Pelodiscus sinensis: one gene and its partners. The protein of the gene in region 3 interacts with the protein of the main gene of each other region in a pairwise test. Links are inferred from orthologs where the notes say so. Each region holds a gene or a part of one and is shown on either strand. Other genes may lie near its edges. The genes, in order: WWP2, WWP1, ARRDC1 and ITCH.

Region 1 (7,299 bases), on a different chromosome or scaffold from region 3:
TGAATTCCCAGCTTCCTTAGCAGGCCGCCTGCATGCCACGGCCCAGGCGCTCTCAGCAGCTGCTCCCAGCAGTTAGGAGAAGGAGGAGGAAGAGGAAGAGGACGAGGACCTGCATGGGGGGAGGGATAGCTCAGTGGTTTGAGCATTGGCCTGCTAAACCCAGAGTTGTGAGTTCAATCCTTGCGGAGCCCAGTTGGGGGCAAAAATTTGTCAGGGATGGTATTTGGTCCTGCTGTGAAGCCAGGGGACTAGACTCAACTTGATGACCTTTCAAGGTCCCTTCCAGCTCTAGGAGATAGACAACCTCCATTAATTTGAATTACACAGCAGGTGACAATAGCAGGCCACAGGCACATGGCATCTATCCACCCCAGACACTCACAGCTCCACCCCCACCCTGCAGGATCCTTCTGTGGCTAGAAAGCCCCTTTACACTGACAGGGGCTGTGGGCTGCTTTAACAGCTGATGCGTGACTAACCCAGTCACACAGGAAGGCCTCTAGCCCCGTAGGAGCAAGCCAGCTCTGCCCAACCCCTCTCTTCCCTGCATGCTCTGGACTGATGGAGCTGAGGAAATAACCAAAGGCTTGTATGCCCCCACTGCATTTGCAGCCAGGCTTGTGGCAGTGAACACGTAGGCAGGAGCGCATGAGCGATGCTGGAACGTGCACGTTCCTGCTGCCGCCAAGGAGCTAAATGTCAAAGTACCATTGGTAGATGTAAACGAACCGTGAGACAAATGGGGCAGTTTGCACTTCTCAAGGCTACTGATGAACTGTCCTGCCAAGGCGGCAGCAGCCGGCCTTGCTTTCACAGCGGGAGGGGGCTAGGGAGAAAACTGGAGCCAGACTGGTGCAAAATCCTGGGACAGGACCTGCACCCAATGCCACAGAATACACAGGCCCTGCCCTGCCCACTACACACACAGGCTACATCTACACTGGCCCCTTTTCCAGAAGGGGCATGTTAATTTCACCTGTAGTAGGAGGGAAAGTAGTAGGGAAAGCTGCGGGGGATTTAAATATCCCCCGCAGCATTTAAATAAAAATGTCCACCCCTTTTTTCCGGCTTTTCCGGCTTTTAAAAAAGCCAGAAAAGAGCATCTACACTGGCCCCGATCCTCCGGAAAAAGCACCCTTTCCGGAGGCTCTTATTCCTTTGAAGTAGGAATAAGAGCCTCCGGAAAAGGGCGCTTTTTCCGGAGGATCGGGGCCAGTGTAGACGCTCTTTTCCGGCTTTTTTAAAAGCCAGAAAAAAGCGGCGGACATTTTTATTTAAATGCCGCGGGGGATATTTAAATCCCCTGCGGCTTTCCCTACTACGATAGGTGAAATTAACATGCCCCTTCCGGAAAAGGGGCCAGTGTAGACGAGCCCACAGAGCTGGAAACACTGCCCAGCCACCCCACCCACTAGGGGCAAACATGCAGGCTCACCCACCTCATAGCACCTGGCTACTTGTGGGATGCTGTGCCTCAGGGAGTCTTTCAGATCAGTTTCTGGCATGAAGTAAAGGAAGTGGCACATGCCCTTGAAACACTGGCCAGCTTCCAGGGGGGATGGTCTCCTGCTTTCTGCCCTCTCCCCCCACAACCCAATAGCCATTGAGCTGGTGCAATGTGCACACAAGAATATCTGCTGCTCCACTGCACCCCCCCCAGCCACAGGGGAGGGAGAACTACACAGAGCTAGCCGCAGATTCAGGAAGGCAGCTCAGACTCTGAGCTTATAAAAGGTCTTTGCACTCCTAAGGGCTGCACAAAAGCTGTGGCTACCCGGAAAGTTTTCGATCCAACAGGGGATAAGCACCCAGGTGGATTTTTGATTTTTGGTTCCAGCCCTGAGCGTGTGGGTCTTTAAGATGAATCTAAACTGCACGTGACTTTACTACACAGAATCTAAAGCACAAGGGGTGACTCCAATAGTAACACACGTCACCAATTTGGAGGAACAGATCACAAAACAATTCACAGGCGCTGGGGCCCTGACACAAGAGGGCCCCTCACCACGTTCACAAGCGGGAGGAAGCGGATTTGCAACCAAGCTCCAGTACTAGGAATTTCTTCCGTAAGCGCAGCTGCTCTCTTGGTGGAGTTGTCCTAACAAGCTGTAAAGCTCCACCCCTTTGTGTGTGTGAACAGATCACTAGGATATAAACCTCCAGTCCACGCAGACCTTGAATCCTGCACCCAGTTCTAGTCACCCCAGCTCAGAAAGGACACAGTGGAAGTGGACACGGTTAGCAGGGAGGGACACAGACGTTGGAGGCTACGGCGTGGTTTCCACACAAGGAAAGATTAAAAAGACACAGACTGCTCTGAGCGGTCTGCACGGGCCCTTCTGCTAAAGGACTGTACCCGAAGGGAGCAGCGCAGTATCCCCGCCAGAGGCGCTGATTTCTCACACGAGAGTCCGGGTTCAAGCGGCCCGTGCAGACAGGTCTAGACGCAGCCCCGGGCTGGAAAGGGGACGATGCCGGATCCCCCACTGGCCCGGCCCCACGGAGCCCAGGATGAACCAGCCCACGGACAGGACCCCCCCGCGGCCCGGGGGAGCAGAGGACGGAGGCTCTTGGCGGACTAAGGAAGCGGCGAGACCCCCCCCCCCGCCCGGCCCGGACTCGCCCGCGGGTCCGACGCGTTTCCGGCCCCAGGCCCCCGGGAGCGGCCCCGCTGCTGCGCGGGGCCCGGCGGGGGGGGGGGGGGGGGGCCGGGACCGGGTCTCGGCGGGGGGGGGGGCGCCCCGGGACCGGGTCTCGGCGGGGGGGGGGCCGTGGGGAGGCGGCGCAGGGCCCGGGGGAGCCTCGAGCCGCGTTACGGGCCCGGCCCAGGACACACGCGGGGGGGGGGGGAGATGCCGAGCCCCCCCCCGACCCCTCTGCATTTACCGGCGACGGCTTCGCCTCCACTTCCGGCTCCGGCATTCGCGATCACGTGACGCCGGCTCGCCACCTGACTCGCGGCCCGGAAGCGCGTCACGGGGGGGAGGGGGAACTCCCGGCGTGCCCCGCGACCGCCGCATACTGCCGCTCCCAGAATGCATCGCGAGCTCGCCCCGGGCTGTGCGTGCGCCAAGATGGCGGCGGTGGAGCACGTCGTGGCGGACGCGGGGGCCTTTCTGCGCGGGGCGCCGCTGCAGGTAGAGCGGGGGGGGGCGGGGACCCTGCGGCAGGGAGTTCCGCGGGCCCCGGCCCTCGGGCAGCCCCAGGGCGGGGGGGGCCCCCCGCCCTCACCAGCGGCGCCCGGAGAAAGGGGGGGTCCTGCAACTGGCTGCGGCACCCCCCGACCCTGAGTCACGTCGCTCGCGAGGGGCGGAGCTGGGGGGGCGCAGCCGCAGACCTGCCAGGCGTCATGTGACTGCCCCCCCCCCGCCAGTCGCCCGAGCCCTCAGGGACTCTTCGCCCGTGGCTGCTCCCCCCCCCCCCCCCCACGAACCGACACGCGAAGGGCCCTTCTCTCTCCTCCCAGGGCAGCTGCTTCGGGGGGCCTTGGCCGGGAAAGGGCCTCTCCCCCCCCCCCCCGTCACCTTTTGTCCACGTGTTGGTTGAAAAATCAAAGAATTTGAATAGTTCCTCAGTAATTCAGGCGGGTTGAGGGCCGAGTGCCCTTTGCAAAAGCCCTGCTGGCCCTTCCCAACAAATCCTGTTCCGCGAGGGGTCTGAGCATTTTGGTTTTTTTTTTATTATAGTTTCAACCAGTTCGCCTGGTGCGGAAGTCAGAGTTAGCGACCAGCGATTGCCGGGATTTCCTGTGGCGCCTTCTTTTAAAATGGGCATCATGATAATTGTTCTCTAGTGACCTGTTCCAGAAGCTGATTTGAGCAGTAGGTTACATGCCATAGAAAATAGCTTTGTAATTGCATATTTTAGAGAAATGTTCATATTTCATACTATCTGGCCCTAGTTACTGCTGAATTTATCTCAGAACTTCTTTTCTATCAGCACGTCAATCTGGAACAATTCCTCTGACTTATCACCTACAAATAATAGCTCAAGTGTGAGAATCTGCCTCATGTTCTCTGCAGCAAAGGCTGATGCAAATAATTCATTTAGCTTCTCCAGAACGGCCTTATCTTGCCTAAGTCATCCAGTGACCCCACTAATAACTGTAGAGCAGGGAAGCCAGGTTTTTGTCTGCCCTGGGAGCCCCTTTCCCAGCTGGATGGTGGGAGGGTGTTGTTATGAGTGCTCTTGTCTCAGTGTCTGGCTCCACGGTGATGGGCGTTGTGTATGGAGCTGCTTTTGGATCACACCAGGCTGGCTACGGAACTGGGCATCCCCAGGTCCTTTCTGGTCTTGGTCATTTGTCTTTTAGTTCCCAGTAGCAGAAATTCTTGTGTTTCTCATACACCAGGACTTCGGCAGAAACGTTTACACAATTAAGGAGGTGGTGAGTGAAATCCGGGACAAGGAGACCAGGAGGCGACTGGCCGTGCTGCCCTATGAGCTTCACTTCAAACAGCCCTTCCCTGAGTATGTTAAACTAGGTAAGTGAGCTGGCCTCATGGGCACCTGGCAGAGCACTACGGCAGCTGCCCACAGCCAACTCCAGTGGCCTTCCTGCCAGGGCCGGTACTCGCACGGCTTTACTCACAACAGCTGTGCTCGTTGTAGTTTGTCTACTCTGGATTCTATGAAGCACAGGTCAAGGTGAAAGTCCCATTCCTTTATTTAGCTCCTGCTCCTGCGAGAGAAACAAACCATTGTGTCGGCTTGACAAAGCCCTGGCTGGGTTGATTTAGTTGGGATTGGTCCTGCCTAGAGCAGGGGGCTGGACTTGATGACCTTCTGAGGTCTCTTCCAGCTCTATGGTTCTATGATTGTAAGTATCAAACGTGCTCTCACCATTAGTGCTATGAATTTGCTCCCTAGCTTAGCGCAATAGTTTTTACTTTGGCTTCTAATCAGGTTTGCTTCCTAGTTCTTGGGACATAGGACAAGGCTGTGATTTCTGGGGGGAAAGTTCACGGAGAGGAGGATAGCGTTCAAGTAAAACTGTTTTTGGGGAATGAATCTTTGATCTGCTTATCCCATTGCTACTAAAACCTACCTCTTAACCTTACTGTCATTAGTCAAGAGAAAGTGACACTACCTCTGGATTCTGCGCTCTTTAAGAGAGCAGCACCCCTCCCCCCCCTTTACGTACAGCTAGCCATGGACCAGAAGAAAAGACCTGAGGAAGAGATTTAAAGAGAAAATGCCCTTAGGAATTGAGGGTTTGGGGAAGAATTCTCAATAGACGGGAGTGTTCAAAGAAAAGAACAGCCTATTTAGGTACCCCGAGTCCCCCCGCTGTATTCATATATTTCTAGGAGGCCTCCCTAAGAGCCGTGTGTCTGCGAACCGTCGGACTCAGGCAGGACTCCCCCCTGTGACCACACACTCACTTTGTTACAGTGACAGAATTCTCAAAAAAGACAGGCGACTACCCCAGCCTGTCAGCCACAGATCTCCAGGTGCTAGCCCTGACCTACCAGCTGGAGGCAGAGACCGTTGGAGTGGCTCATCTGAAGACAGAACCAGAAAAAAAGGTAAACTCCCTTGAGTGACGCATCCAGGCTTCTGCCATGGTGCTGGGTGGATGAATGGGCGGGTCACACGTTTCGTGGGGAGGTACAATGCTGGGGGGGAGGAGCTTAATTCCAATTCTTGGTGTAAAATTTGGGCTGAATCTATTTTTGTGACTTGGTGCCATGTCACATGACCCTTTGTCTGGTCTCCAAAAAGCACTTCTGGGTAGCCGAGAAATTTGAAAAACAAATAATTGAAAAGAAGCATCTGGCTGCAATAAAGAATGTAGGTAAAACATTAGCTCTGAAACACTTGCGTTAAAAGAATTGTACAGCTGCACGGCCGTAGTCACCTCGCCCCGTTCCCCCCTCAAAATAAATCCAGTCTCTCTAAAATGCACAGCACAGAAAGTACAATACTGCGTGATGCGTGTAAACAGCTGTCAGTCAATACACTAGGTAAATGTGTGTGACTGCAAGGTAGGGTCTGTCACTTCTTACGAACACCTCATGGGTGAAATCTGCAACATAAAAGGGTTCTAAAGCCCCACGTTTGGCCCAGCGCAGATTCTTTAGTGCAGGTGCTGCAGAACCCCGCTGTAAGGCTGCGTTCCCAGCCAGCGGGTCACGCCCCTCTGCCTCCAACACTCAGCAATAGTGCTGAGGGGGGAAGGATGTTAGGGGCAGAGCTGTGACCTTGCAAGGACTCTGAGCAGCATTGCCACCTGCTGGGCAGCCTCCCTGGCTGCCCTAACTCTGGTGGCCCTGTGGGATTTGATTTCTGCTGGGAACCGCTCCATCCCCAGAGCCGGGGAGGCATAAAGGCAGCGCAAGCCCCATGCACTCCCCTCACCTGGATGTGGCCCAGCTTAGGAAACCAGTTCCCCCGCAAAGTAAGCATGTAGGGTGAGATCCTGGGGACTGAACCATGCTTGGGGGGCCTGTTTTAGCCATGAGTTGAAGTGTAATCATCCGCCAGCTGTTCAGCATCTTCCACTCGGTTTGGAAAGCCAGTCCAGTCAACTCAGCTCCATGGCTGGAGGGGTTCTGGAGAGATGCCCCAGGCCGTCCCGGTGTTCTGGCCTGGGAACTAGCCCAGGCCGGTCCGGGTCTGGAGTTCTGCTTTGCCTGCTAACCCCATTGCTGCTCTTAATCCCCCGCAGGTTCAGCTGAGCTCCACCATCCGGCATCCAGAGGCGCCTGTGAATATCGCTGGGTTCCACCTGCCATCCAAGGTACCTGTTTGCATGCGCCGGGATAACCCTCTGGGGGTCCTCCAGGGGAAGGTGCTAGCAGGGGGAAAAGAGCCTTCCACGCCCACAAAGGCTCATTTCCGGTGAGGTTGCCTGAGAGCGTTGTATCCCGGGAAACTGAGGCAGGGGGTGTTTCATCACAGGCAGTGTCAGGACAGGAGTGGAGCTCGCAGAACCTGGCCCTGCGAACGGTTACAGGGTTGCCTGTGCTGGCCTCCTCCCTTCATGCTCTCGCTTCTCTTCCAGGGCCTCCCGGCTCCTTGGGAGTGTCCCATCGTTCTGCACGTTAATCCTCTGTCCCCACTGCCTGTCTAGGATCAAGCAGTCAGGCCTGGGCACCAAGGAGGCAGCGGCAGCCCCAGGCTCTGGGGATGTCCCAGCAGTCTAGTAACTTTGTTGTATTTATTCTCCCCCAGTCCCAGCGCCTGGAGGCGGATGCGTGCGTGTCCACCTCGGCAAGCCGCCCGCGGGCAGCAGAGGACAGCCCCGAGTTCGGGGCCTTCCTGTACTGGAGGAACCCTCTGCCCAGCATCGAAGAG
Region 2 (7,587 bases), on a different chromosome or scaffold from region 3:
CCAAATAATGGAAGATATATTCTGGCTGTAGTGCTCCATGAAGCACACAGTAGGGAAGTAAAATCTCATTTAATTAGTACACAAATTTCAATTTGGGTTAAACTGGCTAACTGATTAAATGGAGGTAGGAGCCATGGCTAGGCTGGAGCGGATTCCACACCACAGGCAAGGGCTGCTCCAGCCCAGCTGCTTCCAAACCTGCGCTGGGCTTCCATCTCCCAGCTCACCCTGGCTGGGAGTCGGCAGCCACACACATGGCTGGTCGGGGTGGGGGGGAAGATGGCTCCCCCACACAGGCCAGAAGTGGCAGCAGGGTAAGAGGGAAGGTTGCGGCCCTGTGCGAGGCTGCTGATTCCCAGACCACATGAGCTAAGAGCCAGTAGCCTTGCAGGGCGGGAGCAGCCCTCCACTCACAGTGGGCCATAAGCAGGACACTGTCCCTGGGTAACAGTTAAACAATCACATTCCTAGTATGCGGATGGGTCACGAGGTCCATGAGAGCATGAAAGCCATCCAGCAGAAGGAAGGCCTGGGCCAGAGCAGACTCCAGCTCTGCTCCATAAACTCTCTGCATTGAATCAGCATTAACAGACTTTTCTGAATTCATCAACAGACCAAGCTGGTGGCATAGGCAGAGCAGAAGATACACATGCAGGTGGACATTGGACTAGGAGTCCCCCTTGACCAGCCTTATTGCTTATTCCCCCTCACCCCCCACCCCCTGGCTTTGCTGCCTCTGTATCAGAGGCAGGGAGAGGAAGCCAGTGCCCATGAGAAGCTGGATAAGCCTAACCTCCCTCCCCCCTCCCAGCCCCTCTCACTGATGCCTCTGAGAGGCAGCAGCATGAAGGGTGAGGGGGGCAGGTGGGACAAGCTTTCAAGCAGACTCCCCACACATGTCGACTCTATGGACCCCGCTTCCCCCGCACCTTGCTGCCTCCTACAGAAGCCATGCAGAGAAGGCTGGCAGGAGCCAATGCTTGGGGGAGCCAGCTTAAAAGATGGTCTCCCCCCCCCCCCCCAACAATAGCTCCACGGTACTGCCTGTCCCCAAGAGGCAGCAGAGCTAGGGAGGGCAGGGGAAGCTGCTCCATGCCAGCAGTCCCCATCTGCAAGGGGTCCGAGCTCCCCACAGACAGAGGTGGCTTCAGCATCCCACAGAGCAGCCTATGTCCATGGCAGCAAACCTTGGCTGTGGGCATACCAAGCTCTCTGTGGATAGGGGCTGCTGCCCCGGAGCAACCTCTGTCCATGGGGAGCTTGGACCCCCCCTTGGACAGGGGCTGCTGCCACCCCATGCTGCTGCTCCTGTAGCAGAGGCAGCAGCACAGAGTGGCAGGCAGAAGCCAGCTTTAACAAAACCAACTCCACCTGCCACCCCATGCTGGTGTCCTTGAGAGAAAGGCAGCAATGTAAGATGGCAGGGGTCTCCCCAGGAGTGGAGCCTGGAACACACTGGCTGCTGCCCTCCTCCCCACTACAGAGACTATCAAATAGCTGTGTAACTGATAAAATCCACTTGATTACAAAACTATTCAATTACACAATAACATTCCTAGTGCACTTCAGAAATCACAGAAATTCTCTATGAGCCCCTAAAAAATGGCAACATGGAAGTAAGCATCCTTGAGACCGAGGGCAGTGTGCCAATGTCTGGGATCCAGGGAAGAAATAATGGAGGCCAGGGAGATCATGCAGAACTTAAGCCTCACCAGGTAACAGTTCAGATCATGCAGATCCAGAATGGGTTGAAGTGCCCCTTCATCCTGTAGCCTCGGGGATGAGCAAGTAGAGGAAATAAAATCCCTGGTTATTGTAGCACTTTGGAACCTCCTACACTGACCCTCATCTGAACAAGTCCTTCAACTTCTTGCAGAAGGAGCCGCTCATGAGAAGAGTCCTTGAAGAGGGACAGGGAGAGGAGCGGGAAAGGGGGATAGACAAGAGCTGGAGGATACAACGCTGCCACGTTACACTGAGGACCCACCAGTCTGAAGTGACAAAGCACCAGGCTGGAAAGAAAGGATGGAGATGGTATGAGAATGTTACAAGACGAAGGATGTGGCAATATCAGAGGTACGTCGTCCTTGAAGGTACCCTCAAAATAGGTGCTAGAAGTGGGCCTGGGAATGGGAGAAGCCAGGAGCCAGGATGTGTGGAAGAGTGAAACAGACTCTCTCTTCCCTAGCAAATGTGCCCCCCCCCTTTTTTTTTGAGTCCTCTCAAGGTTGGAAAGACGGAGATACTAGGATTTGAGGATGGAACTTCTTATGAGCCAGGCCCAGAACTTACAGGCTGAGGGTGTGGAAGGTCATGAAAGAGTCTTTTAGTCCATGGAGCTTAGAATCTCCTTCTCACAGGGCCACCCCATTTAATTAGGGGAGATTGCCTATCTCCTAGAACTGGAAGGGACCTTGAAAGGTCATCAAGTCCAGTCCCCTGCCTTTGCAGCAGGACCAAGTACCATCTCTGACAAATTTTTGCCCCAAATGACCTCTGCAAGGATTGAACTTATAACCCTGGGTTTAGCAGGCCAATGCTTAAACCACTGAGCTATCCCTCCCCCCATTGAAGCGGAGAACCTTCACTGACTGCTTTGCCTCAGGAGAGAGTCTGGAGAGAAGCAACCATGATTCTCTCCACATGGAAATAGCCAGCGCCATCAAGCCCCAGACCCCTGCTCAAGAACCATTATTCTAGAGTACCTCTTTTTCTGGTAGGAAGGAGCTTCCTCTTCCATATCTCTCAAGGTTATTTGGTGGGGTGTCCACTCCTTTTGCTCCTTAGTAAATACCACCTCTTTTTATAGCAGCCTTAATAGTCATGATAATTTATTTTAAAAAAATATATACATCTACAATCACACACAAAAAATGTTTTGAGACGGAGGAAGGAGGTGGCTTTCAAAATGTGACCTGCATGTAACTAGTGCAGTGTTGCCTTTTAGAGAGTCTGAAAACAGCCCAAAATAAAGACTAGTCCACACTTACCATTAGATAGGCATTGCAGCAACTGATGCAGCAAGAGTCAATTTATCTGGTCGGGTGAAGAGCACTCTCCCATCAATTTGTATACTCCACTGTCCTGAGAAGCATAAGTGAAGTCTGAGGGAGAAGTTCTCCCATTGGCACAGCAGAGTGAAGACACCGCAGTAAGAAGATCTAAGTACATCAACTTCAACTATTATATTCATGTAGCTGTAGTTGTGTAATCCAGTCCCCTCCTCCCCTTAGTGTACACAAAGCCTGAGGCAGTATCTACACTACAGTTGTATTGCAAGAGTGGAGATCGATTCACTGGCAGTCAGTTTAGTGGGTATAGTGAAGACCCATCAAATTGACCACAGATCGCTCTTCAGTCAACCCCTATATGCTATCCCTGATGAGAAGCGTAAGGTAAGTCAACAGGAGAATGTTTTCCATCAACCCCATTCAAGATAGACGCCGCAGTATCTTGACCTAAGGTACATTGACTCCAGCTACATTATTGACTTAGCTGGGATTAGTGTAGATCTAGTCTGAAATGTGAACTCCCCTGCTGCCATTTGTTACACACACAAGAGTTAATGCCAGTGGGCAATACTCACTTTAATAGTCAATATTAACTATTTCACTGCTGATCAGCTGAACAGATAAGAGGGGAAATGAGGTGGAGAAGGGTGATGAAGACAGAAAAAAACCCAAGGAACAGTGGTGATCCTCAAGAAGAGTATTTAAAAAAAACAATCCTTCTTACTGAATATTACAATTTTAAAAATAAAAGTAAAAGTTTATTTACTACACTGGGCCATATTCCACAATGATTCTTTGTGAAAATCGCCCACTGCCATCTGTGGGAATTTGACTGTGGAGTAAGGATAATATATAGTCATAAATTTATATTCTGAGCCACTATCATAATTAAACATGGAATTCAGTCTTTGGTATAGAATTAATTTGGCAGTTCTTGTTTATGGCTTTCACAAAATGCAGCAGAGTAAAAAAATAACAGGATTCTTGTTAATTTAATTGTTGCTATTTAGAACACTGTGACCAGTAATGAAACAAGTGAAACTGACCATTACTTTCATTCCGTTGTTTAGAAAAGATATGAACAGCAGCCACAGCACTGGTGCTGCCTGTAAACTCAGGAAGACTGCACTGCATCAACTGCAAACATAAGAGCTTGAAATCTAATTTTTATTAATGAAAAGGTTAAAACTTGCAAAAGCTACTGAGCATCACACACAACCCAGAAAATTTTGAATTTAGCACTGGCAATAGTATTTTACAAACCTGTCTCAACTATCCAGTGAAAATTTCTTACGAATTTCTGAAAGTGTCATTAATTAAAAAGTGGAGTGGTTAACAGTACCATGAGTAACATGACTGATCCCTCTGGAAAGAGAAGACTTTGAATAGGCATGCAAAAAATTACACACACACAGTAAGTACAGTTGGGTTTTAAAAAGAGATTTAACTTATAATTTACATACTTTAAGGTAATATTACTAAAAAAACTATAACAGTATTCTTACTAACAAAGTTCATATTTTGGTGCAACCATGTGGTATACTTGCTTGCCAAGTTGGCCAAGTAAAGTACTGAAATTACAACTAAGCATTTTTTTTAAAAAGTTATTTACTCCCCCCATTGGCTTCATTTTCTGCATCCTAGTTTTAAAGTGGCTATCTTAAAGCAGCACTCAACACCTAGTTTTGGTTCTAAATGTATATCAATTTTTGTTTTGTGAAGCCTGTTTAATGTGTTAATTTCTAAATATTAAAACAATTTTATGTCAAGCTTTATCCTCTTTTCTCAAAGTCGTCAATGAGTGAGGAAGACTCATCCCCTAGATCCCTGTTTTAATCACAGTACAAAACTGAAAACATTAGAAGGATCTCTCAGGCTCCACTATTTCCTTTTCAGGAGAGAGGGAAGAAGGTGATTAGGATGGCAGGGTATTCCAACTCAGCATTCATGCACCGAATTCTGAGACAGGTTTTTTTCTTTTTTCAGTGTTTTTCAAAGAGTCAGGCGAGCAATTAAGGACAAGACTAGTAGAGAACAACGAAACAACTATGTCTCCATGAGTCCTTCCATGATCTGAGAAAAAGTGGATCACCTCTATCTTGGATCCTTCCACGGTGCCCTTGTAGCACAGGCAAAACAGAGTTCAAGTTTGGTCTCAAATAGGTGTGCAAATCTGCTAACATTTTATTTGTTTCATTAATGTATTTTTAATGTAAGACTTTAAAAACTACAGGCAGTCCCCGGGTTACGTACAAGATAGGGACTGTAGGTTTGTTCTTAAGTTGAATTTGTATGTAAGTCGGAACTGGTACATATTGTAGGGGAAAACTCTAGCCAAACATTTCTCCAGAACTCAGTTTTATTCTCCCACACCTCACTTCCCTCAGTCCTTTATTCTCAAGCTGACGTGTCTGCTAAGAAAAGCCGCTCTGCGTCTCCCTGGTCTGCTGGGGTGGGGTGCTAGCTTCGCATCTCCCTGGTCTGCTGGGGGGAAGTAGCTAGTGTGGGGTTGCCTCACCCCGTTTGTAAGTAGGGATCCGATGTAAGTCGGATCCATGTAACCCGGGGATTGCATTTGCTACCCCAACATATCCTTTAAGCTTCAAAGAAACAAACTGAAGCCCACAATTGGTAAGTTACTCCAAGAAGGCACACTCTACATCAGTGGTGGGCAACCTGTGACCTGAGGGCCATATGAGGCCCATTAGGGTTCTGTATGTTGCTGGCAAGACATTGCATTTACTGTTGCTCATGCACAGAGTTGTCAAATTCTGCTGGTTTCTTTTGGTGTCTTTTTCCCCCCTATCAGTATTACTAAAGTGATACACATGTAAAACAAAGGCATGTGAAGTGAGGAGCAAGTTGATTGAACATAACATTGACTGTGAAAGCAGTGCGCTTCTTCTGCATCCAATCAAAGCACTCTTACGTTTCTGTTGACGCATCCTGCAAATTCTAGGTACACAAGTGCAGTTAGCAAAACTACCGTATACTGAGAGACTATCTTTGTCACAAAAATTTCGCAGCCCACTGAGATGGACAGCCACTCATGTGGCCCACTCACTAGCCTGTGATGCCTAGCGCTGCCCTAGATGTTGCAAATTCGTACCTATATGAATAGCTTCACATATATGCATTATGATCACATGTATAACTATGTAACACTAAAAACATTACTGGCCATAAGCACTACTCCACAAAGCACATTGTATCCAGGAGTGTTTGCAGAATCAGTCCATTATAAAGAAGTCTAACCTATTGTACACACCACCACATGGGGAAGAGAGGTAATGGCATAAGAGTGCTAAAAAAAAAATCAACTGGTCTTACAAGTAATAGGAGTTTCATGTATTTTGGCCTCTCATTTCACTCATGTCTTAGGGCCGAGTCTAAGTAAGCTACTGCCACCTCCTCCCCAAAAATAAAGAAAAGACCATGAACAGTTTTCATTTTGGTCAAGCCTTTACAGCTCATTAGACCATAAGTTAGGAAAACACTGAAATACATTAACTGAGTTCAAATGTAGTAGATTAACATTAGTTTATCAAATCCCATTTAATAAAAACCTCAATGAATTTGTGAAAGATTATAAGACATCATCAATAATCAATTTATTCTTTCCCCAACAAAACTGTTTAGTAGCACAAGCAAAATATAAATGCTGCACTATTTTTATTGGAAGTGCTATCCATCCATTCATTCATATGTTAAATATACTAAATATGTGACAGCATAATCTAGTGAGCCAATTTCTGCATAATTGTATAACCTGGATAGCTACCCAAGAATACCATTCTGATGATTTCCTATATGAATAGGAGATCATCACGGTATTTTTGAAAATGACTTTGTCAGATTTGAACATTCTGTTACAAATTCATGTACTAATTTTTGTTCATATATTTTGACAGATTGTTTTAACTAAATCTTGTTTAAAGGGACGTACAGCAAAATGCATGCCTTTAATGTAGTTCCATTTAGACACCTATTTTGTTATTAAAATAAGGATCAGTAAATAGAAAGAAGTCACTACAGTAAATGGAACACACACTATGCTGTTGTAGCTCACGATAGCATTTATAACAACAGCAAATAACTTCTGCATATTCTGTTAAACCACTGACATTTTAAAATACAAATATCAACCACTGAAGGAGTCAGACGTTACACAGCACCAGAAAGATTTGCAGGCACTTCTAAGCTGGGCAGTAACAGCATTAATTGTCCCTCCAGCCCCACAACGAGCTGCAGCAAAGCAGCCCAGTACCTCCCCTGCCCATAGAAGGAGGGTGGGGAAGGCAGGCGGCAGGGTCACGTCTATCGCGGGGGAGGCTTGGGGTATCCCTGGACCCCTGCCCGGTTGCGCGGAGGGATGTTGCATTTCTGTTACCTAACTCCCTCTCCTCTTTCACCGCTCTAGGTAAAGCGACAAGGGCCGCCTCTGGGACTGCCCTGCTGCTTCCCTGCGACTCAAGCGCTTCCCACAAGCTCGGCACGGACACGGGTCAGGGCTCAGCCCCATCCACCCCCTTGGCCAGGCCAGGAACGGCACAAACAAGGTTACCCGCCTGACACA
Region 3 (7,489 bases):
GAGGCCAAGTCACACATCAGGAGCCTCCAGACAGCAACAGGCCTGATTCTCGTTTATTAGTCAAAGCCCAACTGGTCCCAAGGGAAGATGCTGAAGTGGGACTTTCACCGCACACTGGAGCATGAGCTCTTCACCAAGGGAGCTGCTTCTACAGAGGTCTTCAGAGGCCACTGCAACTTGGAAGCCACATAGACTGAACAGCACGGGCAGTGGAAGAGCGAGGATCCTCTGGACCCAGCCATGGGCTTTGTCTCTAAGCTACTCAATTTGTCATCTCTTTAATCTCATGTTTGACTAAGCAGTTAGGTTGGGGTTTTTTTTTGGGGGGGGGGGGGGAGAGCAGGAGACTATTCTCTGCAAGGTCCCTATACACAGCCTCTTTCCCCACTCCCTTACATGGGGCTGTAACAGAACTATTGGCTGTAAAGCAAGACACACACACTTCCAACAGTTCTGACTGAGCATCTTCCATGCGGATGATGCAGTAACCTCTTAAAGCAAACCCATAAATCAGTCACAATTAAAACACACAACAGAAATCAGAGCAAATAGCCATACAACCTAGCCTCTCCTGCCATACACATGCTACAATGACAACAGGGTTCAACACTTGGTCACAGTTCAAGTATTTTCCACAATAGTTTGGCCTCTAAACACAGAGAGATGCCACCTTAGGACCAAGTATTAACATGTGCTCCAACCCAGCTAGCTATGACTTACGACAAGCTGGGACAAACTGGAAACAAGCCAGCACCCAGATATTAAACTTCATGCTTCCGATCTTAGCTAAAAGGAAGAGGTCTAGTGGTGGGAGGAGGGGAGGAGAAGGAGGGAGAAATGGGCAGAGGACAGTTTCTCTCAGTGTACTGTAGGATTTTTTTGCAGCCAATATTGGAGACAGTACTGGAGTACATGGACCCTGGAGTACTGGAGTACATGGACTTCCTACATTCCAAACCCCAAGAATTCCCTACACTTTATGGGGAAGCTCAGAATCAGATCTTAACTGCTTGTGCCAAGGTCCGTCTCCAGTAAGATCACAGCTAGATGATGGGTCAACACTACATGTCTGTTTTAGGGTTTATAGCAGGGCTGAGCAAGAATTCTTGGAGTGGCTCTCCATCAAGATTTTGGTAAGTGATTAAGGAGCTGCACTTTTCTATGGAGGGAGCGTGAGGTCTGGGCCAGAGGTTGGGTGTAGAAGGGAGCCCAGGGTAGGGGACTGGGGAGCAGAAGAGAGTGTGGGGTGTGAAAGGAAGTTTGGGTGAAGGAGGGGGAGTTGTGACTTGGGGTGCAGGATCCAGGAGGGGATATGGGAATGGGGGAGGAGAGACATAATGCGCGGCCCCTGCCCCCAGCACGCTCACCACAGCTCCCATTGGCCAGCTGATGCCATGCCTACAGGCACCGGGCAGACAGCCTGCCTGAGAGTCCAGGCGGGCTGGATCCAAAGACTTGGCAAGCTGGACATGACCTGCATTTTGCCCACCCCTGGTTTACAGCATCCGAGGTGCCTTCCCCCAAGTAAAGGCTGTTAAGAGTCGTGCCAGAAACACCTGAAATCGAGAAGGGTCCTAGCAACAGCTCTCCAGCCCAAGTCTGAAAGGGGAGCATGCGCACACACCTTTGCTTTGTCCAGATACAGCTCACACCAAACCCAGGTGGGAGAGAAATTAAATTACATACACAGGGAAACAACATGTGGTCCCCTGGCACCTTAGAGACTAAGCAGAATATACAGAATCAACAGCAAAACCCACTTCAGATGAACTGGAGGGGAAATAACAGAGAGAGACAGACAGTGAGTAAACTGTTGCTAACGCAGGCTATGCTTAAACACCCCAAAGCTATCCTGAGTCCCAGCACGCACCTACCCTTAGAGCAAGTTCTCTTCGTGCTGCCCGTGAGAGATTTTTTAAAAAACCAAACAAAAAACCCCCCACACGCAGAAGGGAAACTCCTCCGTCCCCACCCCCAGACGAAAAGGGAGGCAAGAGAACGGAGGAGAGGCTGGAGGAGGGCGGCCAAGTCCTAGCCACAGGAGGTGGGATGAAACAACACAAAGCCCCACCAGCGAGGGGATGGGCTGGATGCCTCCAAAACTGCCCCCCCCCCCCCCCAGCAGACTTCGCTGAAAATCCATCTCTTGCGAGTCACCAGGCAGGCAGCTTCTAGTCAAGCGGCGTGGGGGCGGAGGGGAAGCAGTTTACAGAGGCCCAACCTGTTCACACTGAGCTCAGCCTTTAAGTGCAGGGATGGACCCGGAGGGCAACAGGGGAGCCTGCGAGCGGTGAGGCTCCGGTACCGGGAGGCCAAGTAAGGGGCGCAGGTACCGCGGCGGACAAGCTCGCAGCCTTAGGGTCCTGCACCCGGAAAAACGCAATGGGCGAGGAGAAAGGCACGGCACTGCGGCAGGGAAGCTCGCAGCTCCAGGAGCACGCTGTTCGGGGCAGAGGGGTCCCGCTGCCCGGGGATACGGGGGGGGGCGGCACTGCGGCGGGGAAGCTCGCAGCTCCAGGAGCACGCTGTTCGGGGCAGAGGGGGCCCGCTGCCCGGGGATACGGGGGGGGGGGGGCGGCACTGCGGCAGGGAAGCTCGCAGCCCTAGGAGCACGCTGTTCGGGGCAGAGGGGTCCCGCCGCCCGGGGATAGGGGGGGGGGGGCGGCACTGCGGCGGGGAAGCTCGCAGCCCTAGGAGCACGCTGTTCGGGGCAGAGGGGGCCCGCTGCCCGGGGATACGGGGGGGGGCGGCACTGCGGCGGGGAAGCTCACCGCGGTACTGCAGGCTCCCGGAGAGGCGCACGGTGACGCTGCCGGCCAGCGGCTCCCCGGGGCTGTAGACGACCCGGCTCTCGCTCAGGCGGATCTCGAAGAGCTGCACCTTCCCCATGGCCGGGCCTCCCGCGGCTGCTCCCCGCAGGGCTCGGGCGGCGGCGGCTGCTCGCTGGCTGGCTCGGGGGAGGCTCCTACCTGCTGCGAGTGACGCGCCAGCCGGCCACGGCCCAGCCCCTTAAAGAGCCAGCGCCGCCCCGCCCAGCCCTGCCCCGGGGCGGTACGCGGGGGGGGGGGGGGGTCTAGCAGCTGTGGCCCCAGACGCGGGGTCCCTCCCACCGCGCCCCCCATCCCCGCGCTGCGGCCGGAGGAGGAGGGACCCCAGCCCGGCAGGCTGAGATCGGGACCCAGCCGGGAACCAAGCCAGTTTCCAAGCACCAAACCAACTGCCCCAGTGGCTAGGGGCAAAGGCACTGAGCCAAATGCCCCAGGTCCTGCCATGCATGGGCTTGTATAATTTTTGGTGGTGCCCCATTAGCCACGCCCCCGTGCCCTGTTAGCCACGCCCCCTTACACCCCCTTAGCCACGCCTCTGACCCCCCCCCTTTTAGCCATGCCTCTGGCGGTAACACAGAGGGGGCAAGATGGACACATGACCAGAAGTAAAAGATGTCATGTCACTCCTCTCCAAGAGCTTTTCCCACCATCCGCCTACCAACAGGGATTAGATTGGCCCCCACCAAACCGCCCGCATGCAACTATCCTGCAGTTGCATTAACCCAATGTGTGTGACATTAACTCGGGGCAGAGAGGCTGGGGGAAGGGTTCCCTCTAAGGCTCTGTCTACGCTCGCGGCTTCTTGCACAAGTACAGCTGTTCTTGTGCAAGAACCCACAGAGCAGCCACACTGCCTGCCTGCTCTTGCGCAAGGAAATTTACAGTACGGCGTGGTAAGAGAGGGCGTCTTGCGCAAGAGCTATGCTCTTTTCTAACAAGTGTAAGCTCTCTTGCGCAAGAGGGCAGTGTGGATGCTTGGCAGGGATTTCTTGCGCAAGAAACCCCTATGGCTAAAATGGCACAGCTCGCACATGGCACTGTAGACGTGCTTGCACAAGAGATCTTGCACTAGAACCCTTACGCAAGATGTTCTTGTGCAAGAAGCCGCCAGTGTAGAAATAGCCTAAGAGTTTCCTCCCATGAGCAGAATGAATTTTGTGTTGTGCACCAGTACTGAGTTCATGTGGCTTGTTTGGATGACAGCAGAGGAGGGTGAGGAGTTGGGGTGGGAAGTAGCAGGCACCAGGGGAGCTGATGGAACAAGGGGAGGAGACATGGCAGCAGAGAGAAAAGGTTAAGGTTTAAAAATATTTATTAATAACTTGGGGGCCACAGTGGCACTGCCCTTCTCACTGCCCTCAGCGCTCCTGCAACCTGCCCCCCTCCACCAGCCCTTCTCTCCCCCTTGTGCCCACTCCTCCAGTAGCCCCACTCTGATCACGTGAGCTACCCCGCCTCATCCTCTCTCCTAACACCTCCCTCTACAAACTTGCCCTGCCTCTCTCCTTTGGTGCTGGTTCCTCCCCTGCAGGTGTCTACCCTTCTGCTTCACCCCCTGGTGGGCAGGAGCCAGGTTGTAAGTATGCTCTGTCCCCAGTCCGAGGGAGGGAGCATAGGATACCCCAAGTATGCTCCCTCCCTCCCTGCCTGTCCTGTGGCACCATCCCTGCTGTGTTTGCTGGCAGATTGTGGACACTGGAAGAATAAATAAACTCTGTTCATCCACCGAACAGGTACAGCACAGGTAGCCGCAGTACAAGCTTCCCCCGGCTGCTCAAAACCTCAACTCAGACTTTTACCTGGCTCCAAGTCGCTATGAGCCTTTATTTTGTTGTCCTGGGTCTCTCTGTGATGGGAGGGAGGCAAGAACTGTGAGTCATGCTGGTGGTTTCCTGTGATGAGAGCAGCTCCCCAGTACAAATTGCCTTGAAACCCCACTTAGCAGCTACTAGCTGGGTTGATTATCACCAACCTGGCGGGATTCACACTGCGGATGGAAGTCTTGGCTCTTCTGGCACATTGCGTAGTCGCCTGCCATTGCAGTAGCATTGGCACAGTCCCACTAGTAGTAGAGAAAGGGCTCTGTCCCATTAAGGATCCCAGCCCCAGTGGCTTTCATCCAAGGCATTTTAGCAAGGCTAATCATGAAGCTTCACCAGGACTCTTGGAAGTCAGTAAGCATAGAATGATTGGGCGAGATGGCAGGGCCGGCAGGTATAAGAGGCATGGGAAGATGTTGCCTTCCCACACTACCAGGCTTGGCCTCACCCACACTGGGCCACCAGAATGCCAACGTGGAGCCATGCTGAAGCAGTAGGCATTCTGGGGGTGGAGTGTTGCTGCCCACGGGCTTCAGCCATGCTGAGACTGCGGATGCTGGGGCAGCTCCGGGGCCAGGGAGGCTGGGGACACATTCCAGGGAGGCTTTGGGCAGAAGGGGTGAAGCTGGGAGCTTGCTTCCCCCAACCTTACGCTCACCCACCGCCCATAGTAGAAGGGACTAAGTCATCCAGGGTGTGTCTAAACTACATGGCTCCCTCGATGGAGCCATGTAGATTAGGCTGATCGGCAAAGGGAAATGAAGCTGCGATTTAAATAATCGCGTCTTCATTTAAATTTAAATGGCTGCCACTCTGAGCCGACAAACAGCTGATCAGCTGTTTGTTGGCTCAGCGTGCTAGTCTGGATGCTCCCACACCGACCTGAAAGCCCTTTATCGACCTCCTCGTTATGCCTCGTAGGATGAGGTTTACCGGGGAGGTCGATAAAGGGCTTTCATGTCGGCAGGGGAGCGTCCAGACTGCCCCGATCTGCCGACAAACAGTTGATCGGCAGAGCGGGGCAGCCATTTAAATTTAAATGAAGCCATGATTATTTAAATCGTGGCTTCATTTCCCTTTGCCGAACAAACAAATCTACATGGCTCCATCAATGGAGCCATGTAATTTAGACGTACCCCTAGTGCCAAGACACAGGCTTGATGAGTCTAAACCACCCAAAACAGTGGTCTATCCAGTTTCCTCTTTCAAAACTTCCAGTGAGGCCTCTGTTCCATTGTCCTACTGGTCTTACAGTTAGGAAGTTTTCCCTTGAGATTTAATCTAAATCTGCTCTGCTTATCTGCAGCTACATGAATGCCCTGAAAGCTCAATGCTTATCTAACAGCACATAAAGAAGCATGAGGAATAATATTTTCAGAGTGAGCTGGTGAACAAAAGGATGTTTTGTTCACTGTTTTTAATTACATATTTTCTGTTTAATTTGAATTTTTACTCATTTTGGGGGCAAAAATGTCTACAGAAAATTATGTTTTTTAAAATTGTTCTGAAATGTTTTCATGCGATTGTGTATGTCTAAATCCCACTTTCTCTTCTTTTTAAAAACATCTCCCTCCCCGCTTTTTTCCCACTGGAAAAAAAGAGAAATGTAAAAAAATATGAGGAAGAATTCTAAAACAAAGTTTTTATTTGGAAAGTTAATTGAAAAACTAAACATGCCAAGGAATATGAAATTTTTCCTGGAGAAATGTAATTTGTCAGAATCCCAGATTAAAAAAACAAATAACCACATCTGTTTACAATTTTTGGTCCCAAGCACACCTTCTTCTACCTGGGGAGCAAAGAGTAGCTGTACTTATAAGATGAGGAAACCAATGTACACGTGCAAAGATGAGTCATAAGTGTGAAATATTATTAGTATATCTACTATCTACCCCAGAGTGTTTGTCTGTTTGTTCAAGAAATCCTCTTACACTATAAGAGCTAGGACCACCAAATTTGGTATACAGTTTCCTCTTACCAAACTTACAGCAACGTAAGGGTTTGGTTGTGCCAGAAAAGTGGGATGTGCCTGGAATGGGATTGCTTCTCAGAAAACCAAACAGAAAAGAGGTACAATCACCAAGTACGTGAAAGGGGCTGGCTGGGGATGCAACCCCCCTCCAATATAGGACTGCCCCAGCTCTGAGCCTTCCACCCCCAAATGCCCTTTCGGAGAGGTGGGGGCTGAAGCTCTCCCCCAGATTCATACAGGGACATTGCTGGCTGTTCCCCTACATTAGGGAGCAAGGGGAAAGTCCACAGTCCTCACTCCAGCTGGGAGTGCAGGGGGCAGACAAGCTGTGTACTTTGCTCTAACTTCCTGACAGGGCCAGGACGGGGAAGAGCAAGCAGACCTGGTACAAATCTTGACAGGGGGTGGGGACTTTGGTCCTCTCCTCTCCACACACCCAGTCCACTGCCCAGAGTCCCTCCTCACTCCTGCACCCCCAAGATCCCCACGCCTTTAGGGATCTGAGCTATGCCAGGTATAGGAGCTAGGGGGAAGGTGTAATAGCTAAAGCTCAGGAGTTTTCTTCTGAATCAGATCTAAGTGCCATTCCTTAGTCATCTCTTCCTGTGTGACTTGGGCCAGTTGTGTCAGTCACTTCTCTGCGCTTCAGTTTCTCCACCTACAAGCGGAGGAGTGTTGTACCTTACCAAGGGAGGCTGTGAGGCTGAATTTGTGAGGCAACCAGCGACCTCAGTGAGAAACGCTGTAAAAATGTCCCTAAATAACTCCGTCATGCCTGACAAGTACATACACATAGGCCAGTTATGTGAGCCCATCCAGGTGCTCTTTCTTTGTAGTGCAATTGCAAATCACAGGGCCATTTCCAGATG
Region 4 (7,367 bases), on a different chromosome or scaffold from region 3:
CACTGAGGACGCTACCGAACCAACCCAGCAACACCCCAGCTGCTCTGCCCCCAGCGTCCCCAAGTCAGCCGCTGCTGAAACTGACCAGCCCGCTGGTCAGTTTCAGCAGTGGCTGAATGGGGGACAGCTGGGGTGCTGCCAGGTTGGTCCCGCAGCACCGAGGGGCAGCGCTATGGGACCTACCAGCAGCACTCCAGCTGCTCTGCCCCCGGCTTCTCCAATTCAGCCGCTGGTCAGTTTCAGCAGCAGCTGAATCGGGGAAGCCGGGGGCAGAGCAGCTCCAATGGTCCGGCTGCCTGGAGCACTTCCGGGTTCCTGATGGTGCCGGACCATCAGATGCCAGACCAATGGAGTTTTACTGTACATCTATTCTACTGCTGCCTCTCAAAAATCTGGAGCTGCCTTCCCTGTTGTTATAAATTATAGCTATCAAAACAAGGTAAATCTTGAAAGAGGTGTGGCCCAAAATTTCAGACCCAGTTAAATAACTCGCACATCATTGTAATCTTCCTCTACCTACAATTTGGATTTTATTGTCTCGCAATGTCAGTCCTACACATTTAGATACTAGAGGATCAATAACTAAGGCCTATCGATGTTTCCAAAACTAGAAGTGAGGGGCCCAACGTTGCCATTCTAGAGTGACTTTATTTACTAAAGATTATACATAGTGTACCAAAACAACCATTCACATTGCAGTTACAAACACTTATGCTTTAGTGTTCTGGGCCATCATTTTAGGACACTGCATTATTTATAGGACAAAGCAAGTAAACACTAGTGAGATGGCTGCAGCAAGATTCGTCAGGACAGAGTGAAGACACTAGTAGTCAAAGGAGGTTCATTTCAAAGTCTGGGAAAGGGGCTGAGCTAGACAATTATTGGATTGAGAGGAATAAATTGGGGGGAATGAGTTATCAACTCACACAAGCCAAACACCTGGTGGTGATTTTGGGGGGCAGAGTGTATGAATAAAACAGGCATCATGCAAGATAGAGGAACCTAGCAAGAGACAGCAAACCACCCCAGGGCTGGCAAATCATCCAGAATCAGACAGCCGCTAATGAATACCCCCAACTCAGGGTGAGCGCAGTAGCTACAAACCAGGTCAATGAAGTCTATCAACCAGAATGGGCTGGTGATTGACTGGACAGTGAGAAGACTGTAGTCAGAGCACTGGATCTGGTTGCCAAAGTGTGCTGGTCAGCTGTAGGGTCTGGCTAGAGATTAGATCACCAGGGTCTGGCCAAAGGGGGCTGGCTGAATGGGGCAGTAGCAGGGAGGTCTGGAAGCCAAAGAGCACTGGGTGGGGCAGTGACCGGGGGGAGGGGGGGGGGCAGCCAGAGGATGCTTGGCAGAAGGGCAAGGCAGGGGAGGCCTGGCAGTCAGAGGGTGGGGCAGTGGCAAGGGGAAGAAGCTGGCAGACAGAGGGCACTGGGCGGGGCAGTCGTGGTGGGGGGTGTCTGGCATCCAGAGGCACTGGGCAGGGAAGTAGGGAGAGTCTGGCAGCTGCTGGGCGGGGCAGTGGCTGGGGGGGAGTCTGGTAGCTGGAGGCACTGGGCATGGCAGGGGCAGGGGGGAGAGGGGTCTGGCAGCCGGAGGCACTGGGCGGGGTCCCACGGGAGGCAGGGCAGTGGCGGGGGGGGGGGAGGGTCTGGGCGAGGCAGTGGCGGGGGGGGGGGTCTGGCAGCCGGAGGCGCTGGGCGGGGCAGTGAGCGGGGGTCCCACGGGAGGCGGGGGGGGGGGCGCTGGGCAGGGCAGTGGCTGGGGGGGAGGGTCTGGGCGGGGCAGTGACGGGGGGGGGGGTCTGGCAGCCGGAGGCGCTGGGCGGGGCAGTGCCGGGGGGGGGGGTCTGGGCGGGGCGGGGCAGTGCCGGGGGGGGTCTGGCAGCCGGAGGCGCGGGGCAGTGCCGGGGGGGGGGGTCTGGGCGGGGCGGGGCAGTGCCGGGGGGGGGTCTGGCAGCCGGAGGCGCTGGGCGGGGCAGTGCCGGGGGGGAGGCTCTGGGCGGGGCAGTGCCGGGGGGGAGGCTCTGGGCGGGGCAGTGCCGGGGGGGGGTCTGGCAGCCGGAGGCGCGGGGCAGTGCCGGGGGGGGGGGGGTCTGGGCGGGGCGGGGCAGTGCCGGGGGGAGGCTCTGGGCGGGGCAGTGCCGGGGGGGGGTCTGGCAGCCGGAGGCTCTGGGCGGGGCAGTGCCGGGGGGAGGCTCTGGGCGGGGCGGGGCAGTGCCGGGGGGGGGGGGTCTGGCAGCCGGAGGCGCGGGGCAGTGCCGGGGGGGAGGCTCTGGGCGGCGCGGGGCAGTGCCGGGGGGGAGGCTCTGGGCGGGGCGGGGCAGTGCCGGGGGGGGTCTGGCAGCCGGAGGCGCGGGGCAGTGCCGGGGGGGGGGGGTCTGGGCGGGGCGGGGCAGTGCCGGGGGGGAGGCTCTGGGCGGGACGGGGCAGTGCCGGGGGGGGGTCTGGCAGCCGGAGGCGCGGGGCAGTGCCGGGGGGGGGGTCTGGGCGGGGCGGGGCAGTGCCGGGGGGGGGGGTCTGGGCGGGGCGGGGCAGTGCCGGGGGGGGGTCTGGCAGCCGGAGGCGCGGGGCAGTGCCGGGGGGGGGTCTGGCAGCCGGAGGCGCGGGGCGGGGCAGTGCCGGGGGGGGGGGGGGCGCGGGGCGGGGCAGTGCCGGGGGGGGGGCTGGCAGCGCTGGGCGGGGCTGTGGGGGGGGTCCCACGGGGGGCGGGGCAGGGGCCCCAGGGGCCGGGACCGAAACGCCCCCGCCCCGCTCGCTGCGAGCCCCGGGGCGGGAGCGGCTCCCCCAGCCCCCCCCGGCGGAGTCGCGGCAGCGCTTCGAGAGGCGAGCGGGCGGGCGCAGCCGCTTCTCCGCGGCGGACTCCTTACCGGCCGGGGCGGCGGGGCCAGCGCCTCAAGCCCTCCGCCAAGATGGCAGCCAGTCCGAGCCCAACCTCAGGCAGCGACTTTCCAAAGTCGGACGGCCACGACGCATGCGCAGAGTCAGCGATGGCGGAGGGCGTGGAGGGTGAAAACTACAACTCCCAGAATGCCCCGCTGGGAGTACGCACGCGCACTACCTGGGCGGACTGGGGTCGGACTGTCAGCTGATGGGTCGAGGGAAGCCGGTGGACTGGGCGCTGGCGCGGCTCCCGCAGGGGAAGGGGCTGAGGGTGGGCCACCAGGAATGGAGACTGGCCGCGTGAGTGGCCCCGAGCCCCGCGCTTCCCTGCTGCTCCCCCCAGTCCCGCCCCTCCCCCTCCAGAGCTGGAGCGAGTCAGCTGCTCCCCGCGCTCCGCCCCTAGCGGCCGGGAAGGGTCTGCAGGGCAAGCCCCAGTGGGCTACAGGTGCCACCACCAGACTGAACCGCGGGGTGGGTTCCCGGACGGATCTGGGGGGGGCGGGCTCTGTGAGCAGTGGGGGTCCCACAGAAAGGGACTGTTGGACTCTGTGTGAGCTTCCCCATAGGGATCCTGGGGGAGAACTTTGTGCAGGCAGGGGGAACTCACCTAGACAAGGATTATGGAGAGCCTCTGCTCACAGAGACCTTGGGGGCAACTCTGGGAGTAGGGGCCACCTCCCCGACAGGAATTTGGAGGGGGTTCTGTGCAGGTAATGTGGCACCCATCCAGACCGGGATTATGGAGGTGCTCTGTGCTAGCAGTGGAGTCTCCCCATAGAGGGGTGCTCTGTGCGGGTTCAGATGTGCTTTGAATTTATTTCATACAGAGAAGGTATAATATGGTTATTCTTTGAAAAGTGGCAGTGGAGGGTTTCACTTTTAATCTCTAAAGGCCTAATCCATCATCAGAATGGCAAATCCCAAAGGAACATGGCTGCTGCAACCAGCTCCAGTATAAAAAATTTAGCAGCACTAAGCACCTTAGATAGAAACATAAACACTGGTACAGTTTCAAAAAGAGATTTCTGCGTTGCATGGATCTGTGTACCTCTTTAGGTATAAATGCACTTACAGCACTGAAATCCTTTTCATCCACAGATCTGTCATGGAAGGAGGAAACAAAGCATACTTTCCAACCATTGCCTGCTATACCACTGTACCAGCTAAGAGTGAGAGGATAGTTCAGTCTCCGTAGTCTGGTCAATCCTGGGCTTCTACTGAAGCACCAGCAAGACTGTTCATTAATAGTATATTAGGACGCATTTTTATGAACTAATGAAGATTAAGGAATTCATAAAGTTCAACAGTTCATAAAACTGCACATCTCAAAATTACAGTAGGTACTGTGCATAAGTATTGCTTTTTCATGCCCTTCAGACCGCTGCCAAGCAATTCCAATGCACTGATGGCATCAGAACATGAAAGGTTGTGGACTTTTTCTTCATCAACTTCACTTTTATTATGTGACTTTTTTCCCTCACAGGGAAAAATGGTTTGTATAATTGTTTGTTTATAACATAAATCTTCATAAAATCAAGGTTCTGCTGTAATACATTGCACTTTTACACATTGATGACCTCCTGAGGTCTCTTCCAGTTCTAGTGTTCTATGATTATATGATCTTAAAGCACTTTGGCTACGTCTACACTGGCAAGATTTTGAGCAAATACTTTTAACGGAAGAGTTTTTCCGTTAAAAGTATTTGCGCAAGAGAGCGTCTACACTGGCATGTGCTTTTGCTCAAGAGATGTGCTTTTGCGCAAAACCAGTGTAGACGCTCTCTTGCGCAAGAAAGCTCCAATGGCCATTTTAGCCTTCGGGCTTTCTTGCCCAAGAAATTAACGTTGCCTGTCTACACTGGCCTCTTGCGCAAGAATACTTGCGCAAAAGGGCTTATCCCTGAGCGGAAGCGTCAGAGTATTTGCGCAAGAAGCACTGATTTTGTACATTACAACATCAGTGTTCTTGTGCAAACACTTGCAGCCAGTGTAGACAGGCGGGAAGATTTTGTGCAAAATCTTGCCAATGTAGACACAGCCTTAGAGAAAAACTGGGGTCTGGCAAAAGGGGGCTGGTTGGATGGGGCTGTACCAAGTAGGTCTGGCAGCCAGAGGGCACTAGGCGGGGTAGTGGCAGGGGGAGGCGGGTGTCTGGCAGCCAGAGGGCACTGGGCGGGGTAGTGGCAGGGGGAGGTGGGTGTCTGGCAGCCAGAGGGCACTGGGCGGGGTAGTGGCGGGGGGGGGCGGGTGTCTGGCAGCCAGAGGGCACTGGGCAGGGTAGTGGCAGGGGGAGGTGGGTGTCTGGCAGCCAGAGGGCACTGGGCGGGGTAGTGGCAGGGGGGGGCGGGTGTCTGGCAGCCAGAGGGCACTGGGCGGGGTAGTGGCAGGGGGAGGTGGGTGTCTGGCAGCCAGAGGATGCTTGGTGGAGGGGCAAGGCAGGGGAAGCCTGGCAGTCAGAGGGTGGGGCAGTGGCGGGGTAGGGTCCAGAGTGCTTCATTTTTTCTTCTTAAAGCACTTTGAGGAAAAATGAACTGGAGCACTGGGAGAGCTTTTGCCCAGCACTCCTGAAGTGGCCACACTGCCAAGGCTGTGCTTTAAACTTTCAAGCGTAGACAAAGCCTCAGCTTGTTCATGAAGATGGAATAATGCTGTCCTACAAGGAAGGTATTTGGGAACACTCATTTGAAATCCTGTTCGGCTACTGAGGATACAGATGTCATTAGTGGGGACAGATGCATGGTTTCCCACTCACATCCAGTAATAGTACTAACAAAGACTTCAAGTGATATGAGAGATTATCATTTCCAGGAGAATCAATGTGAGCAAAAGAAACAGGAGTAACTATTTTGTATGGCACTTGAGCACTACTGTGTTACTTATTTACACTGAAAAACCCAAAAGATCATTGTGTCCATTTATATTTATTGAAACCCCAAAAGAGCCCCATTGTGAGGATGCTGGACAAACTCTCACAGGCTTCTTCCTGCCAGAAATGTTAATTTTAAGAAGATAAGCAACATATGGAGGATGTTGGAAATATGAACTGTTACACACAAATACTTTTGTGAGCCCAGTGTTGTCTGCACATAATACATTACATGCAAAAGCATTATATTAAAAGACCTTTAAGATTGCAAAGTCAAACACTTAAAAGTTAGGAAATGCCTGAATTAAGGTGCTTGTGCTACACTAGTGTGGCTTCTTTGTGTGTAGGCATAATAATACATTCTTTAATTAGCTGATCAGATGCTAGCATTCCCAGGGGACCCCTGCTTAATTCAGTGAAAAGGTTGGTGCACAGTGAATGGGCAGCTATTTGGTATTTCCTGTTATCCTCATTATTCAGTGTGCATCTACTGGATAAAAGGAAATATTGCACAGCTACCTTATTTACTGCACCACATCCAAACCCTGCCCAGAGGACAGAGAGTGTTTCTGTACAGTTCTCATTATAATATCTGAGTACCACACACCCCAATGAATTTGTCTTCATGGGCTGTGGTGGCATTAGTATCACCATTTACCGATGAGGCACAGAGAATAAGGGCAAATGTGTCCCCCTAATGTTAGATGCCCCAGATGTCTCAACGCAGGCATCCAGAAAACGACACACACACAATTAGAGACCACTGGTGCAGATTCTGGTTTAAGTGATTTCCCTAGCCACACATAGGAACTCTATGATAGTTCTTGAGGGTGGCATTTAATTGCCTTCATCATGCAATCATCCTTTTGATATTACTGTTCCCCCGGCCCCCTGCACAACACCGATTCACTCTCAGAGCCCAATCCAGTCTAATAGTGTATGGCTGGGTAATTAAAGTCTATTATAATCCACAACATGGTCCTTGTAATGTACATCATGCACAATGTGCTTTAGTCAAATAAGTTATTGTCCTCAGTATAGAGATAAATGGGGAAATTCTATGGTCTATGTTATACAAGAAGTCAGCCTAGTCCTAGATGATCTAATGGTCCCTTCCAGCTTTTAAAATCTAGTTAGTTATGAATGAATCACAAGGAAGCCATATTAGGGTTGACAGGGTAACCTTAATTTTGGCATGTTCGTGTTGAGTGCTTATATTTGCAACCATAATGTTCTTTTAACATTTTTAAATGTAAGTTTCCGAATGTTTATATAAGCAAACTAAAAAAAAAAAAAACCACACAAAATTCACGATGTAGAACTTAATTGAACTTCATAGTCACCAGCAATGTTGGGATCTTTAGATTCACAGTACAGACCTTGGCCATTTGAACCAATGGAATAGCTGATAGCAGTAGTAGGTTGTTATCCTATATGTGGTCAGCCACTAGAGCAGGATGATACCCTTTGCCAATGAGCATCACAGCTATTTGCCACAGAGTACAAGAATAGTGAGGCATAGAAATCCTGAGTTCAGTTTTAGCTGCTCTAAAATGTCTATAGGCCTTTCTGTTCCTGTCCATGTTTGTCCTAGTGCCCCTCTACTTCTATCCACAG

Evidence for each region.
Region 1: the proteins of ARRDC1 (region 3) and WWP2 interact in binary tests that used the Homo sapiens proteins (3 or more experiments, as listed by UniProt). The link is inferred for Pelodiscus sinensis from reciprocal best matches to the Homo sapiens genes ARRDC1 and WWP2.
Region 2: the proteins of ARRDC1 (region 3) and WWP1 interact in binary tests that used the Homo sapiens proteins (3 or more experiments, as listed by UniProt). The link is inferred for Pelodiscus sinensis from reciprocal best matches to the Homo sapiens genes ARRDC1 and WWP1.
Region 4: the proteins of ARRDC1 (region 3) and ITCH interact in binary tests that used the Homo sapiens proteins (3 or more experiments, as listed by UniProt). The link is inferred for Pelodiscus sinensis from reciprocal best matches to the Homo sapiens genes ARRDC1 and ITCH.

What each region holds. Positions count from the first base shown.
Region 1 is NC_134722.1:1,626,622-1,633,920, forward strand, and holds the start of WWP2 (NEDD4-like E3 ubiquitin-protein ligase WWP2), read right to left. Parts: upstream 3,015-7,299; 5' UTR 2,923-3,014; coding exon 2,887-2,922; intron 1-2,886. Other genes in the region: RNA-binding protein NOB1, read left to right, coding at 3,036-3,137, 4,352-4,484, 5,395-5,528, 6,671-6,742, 7,177-7,299. UniProt on the Homo sapiens protein: E3 ubiquitin-protein ligase which accepts ubiquitin from an E2 ubiquitin-conjugating enzyme in the form of a thioester and then directly transfers the ubiquitin to targeted substrates.
Region 2 is NC_134712.1:45,701,741-45,709,327, forward strand, and holds the start of WWP1 (NEDD4-like E3 ubiquitin-protein ligase WWP1), read right to left. Parts: upstream 3,013-7,587; 5' UTR 2,994-3,012; coding exon 2,991-2,993; intron 1-2,990. UniProt on the Homo sapiens protein: E3 ubiquitin-protein ligase which accepts ubiquitin from an E2 ubiquitin-conjugating enzyme in the form of a thioester and then directly transfers the ubiquitin to targeted substrates.
Region 3 is NC_134732.1:3,461,102-3,468,590, reverse strand, and holds the start of ARRDC1 (arrestin domain-containing protein 1), read right to left. Parts: upstream 3,009-7,489; 5' UTR 2,890-3,008; coding exon 2,772-2,889; intron 1-2,771. UniProt on the Homo sapiens protein: Functions as an adapter recruiting ubiquitin-protein ligases to their specific substrates. Through an ubiquitination-dependent mechanism plays for instance a role in the incorporation of SLC11A2 into extracellular vesicles.
Region 4 is NC_134728.1:35,531,942-35,539,308, reverse strand, and holds the start of ITCH (E3 ubiquitin-protein ligase Itchy homolog), read right to left. Parts: upstream 3,002-7,367; 5' UTR 2,873-3,001; intron 1-2,872. UniProt on the Homo sapiens protein: Acts as an Acts as an E3 ubiquitin-protein ligase which accepts ubiquitin from an E2 ubiquitin-conjugating enzyme in the form of a thioester and then directly transfers the ubiquitin to targeted substrates.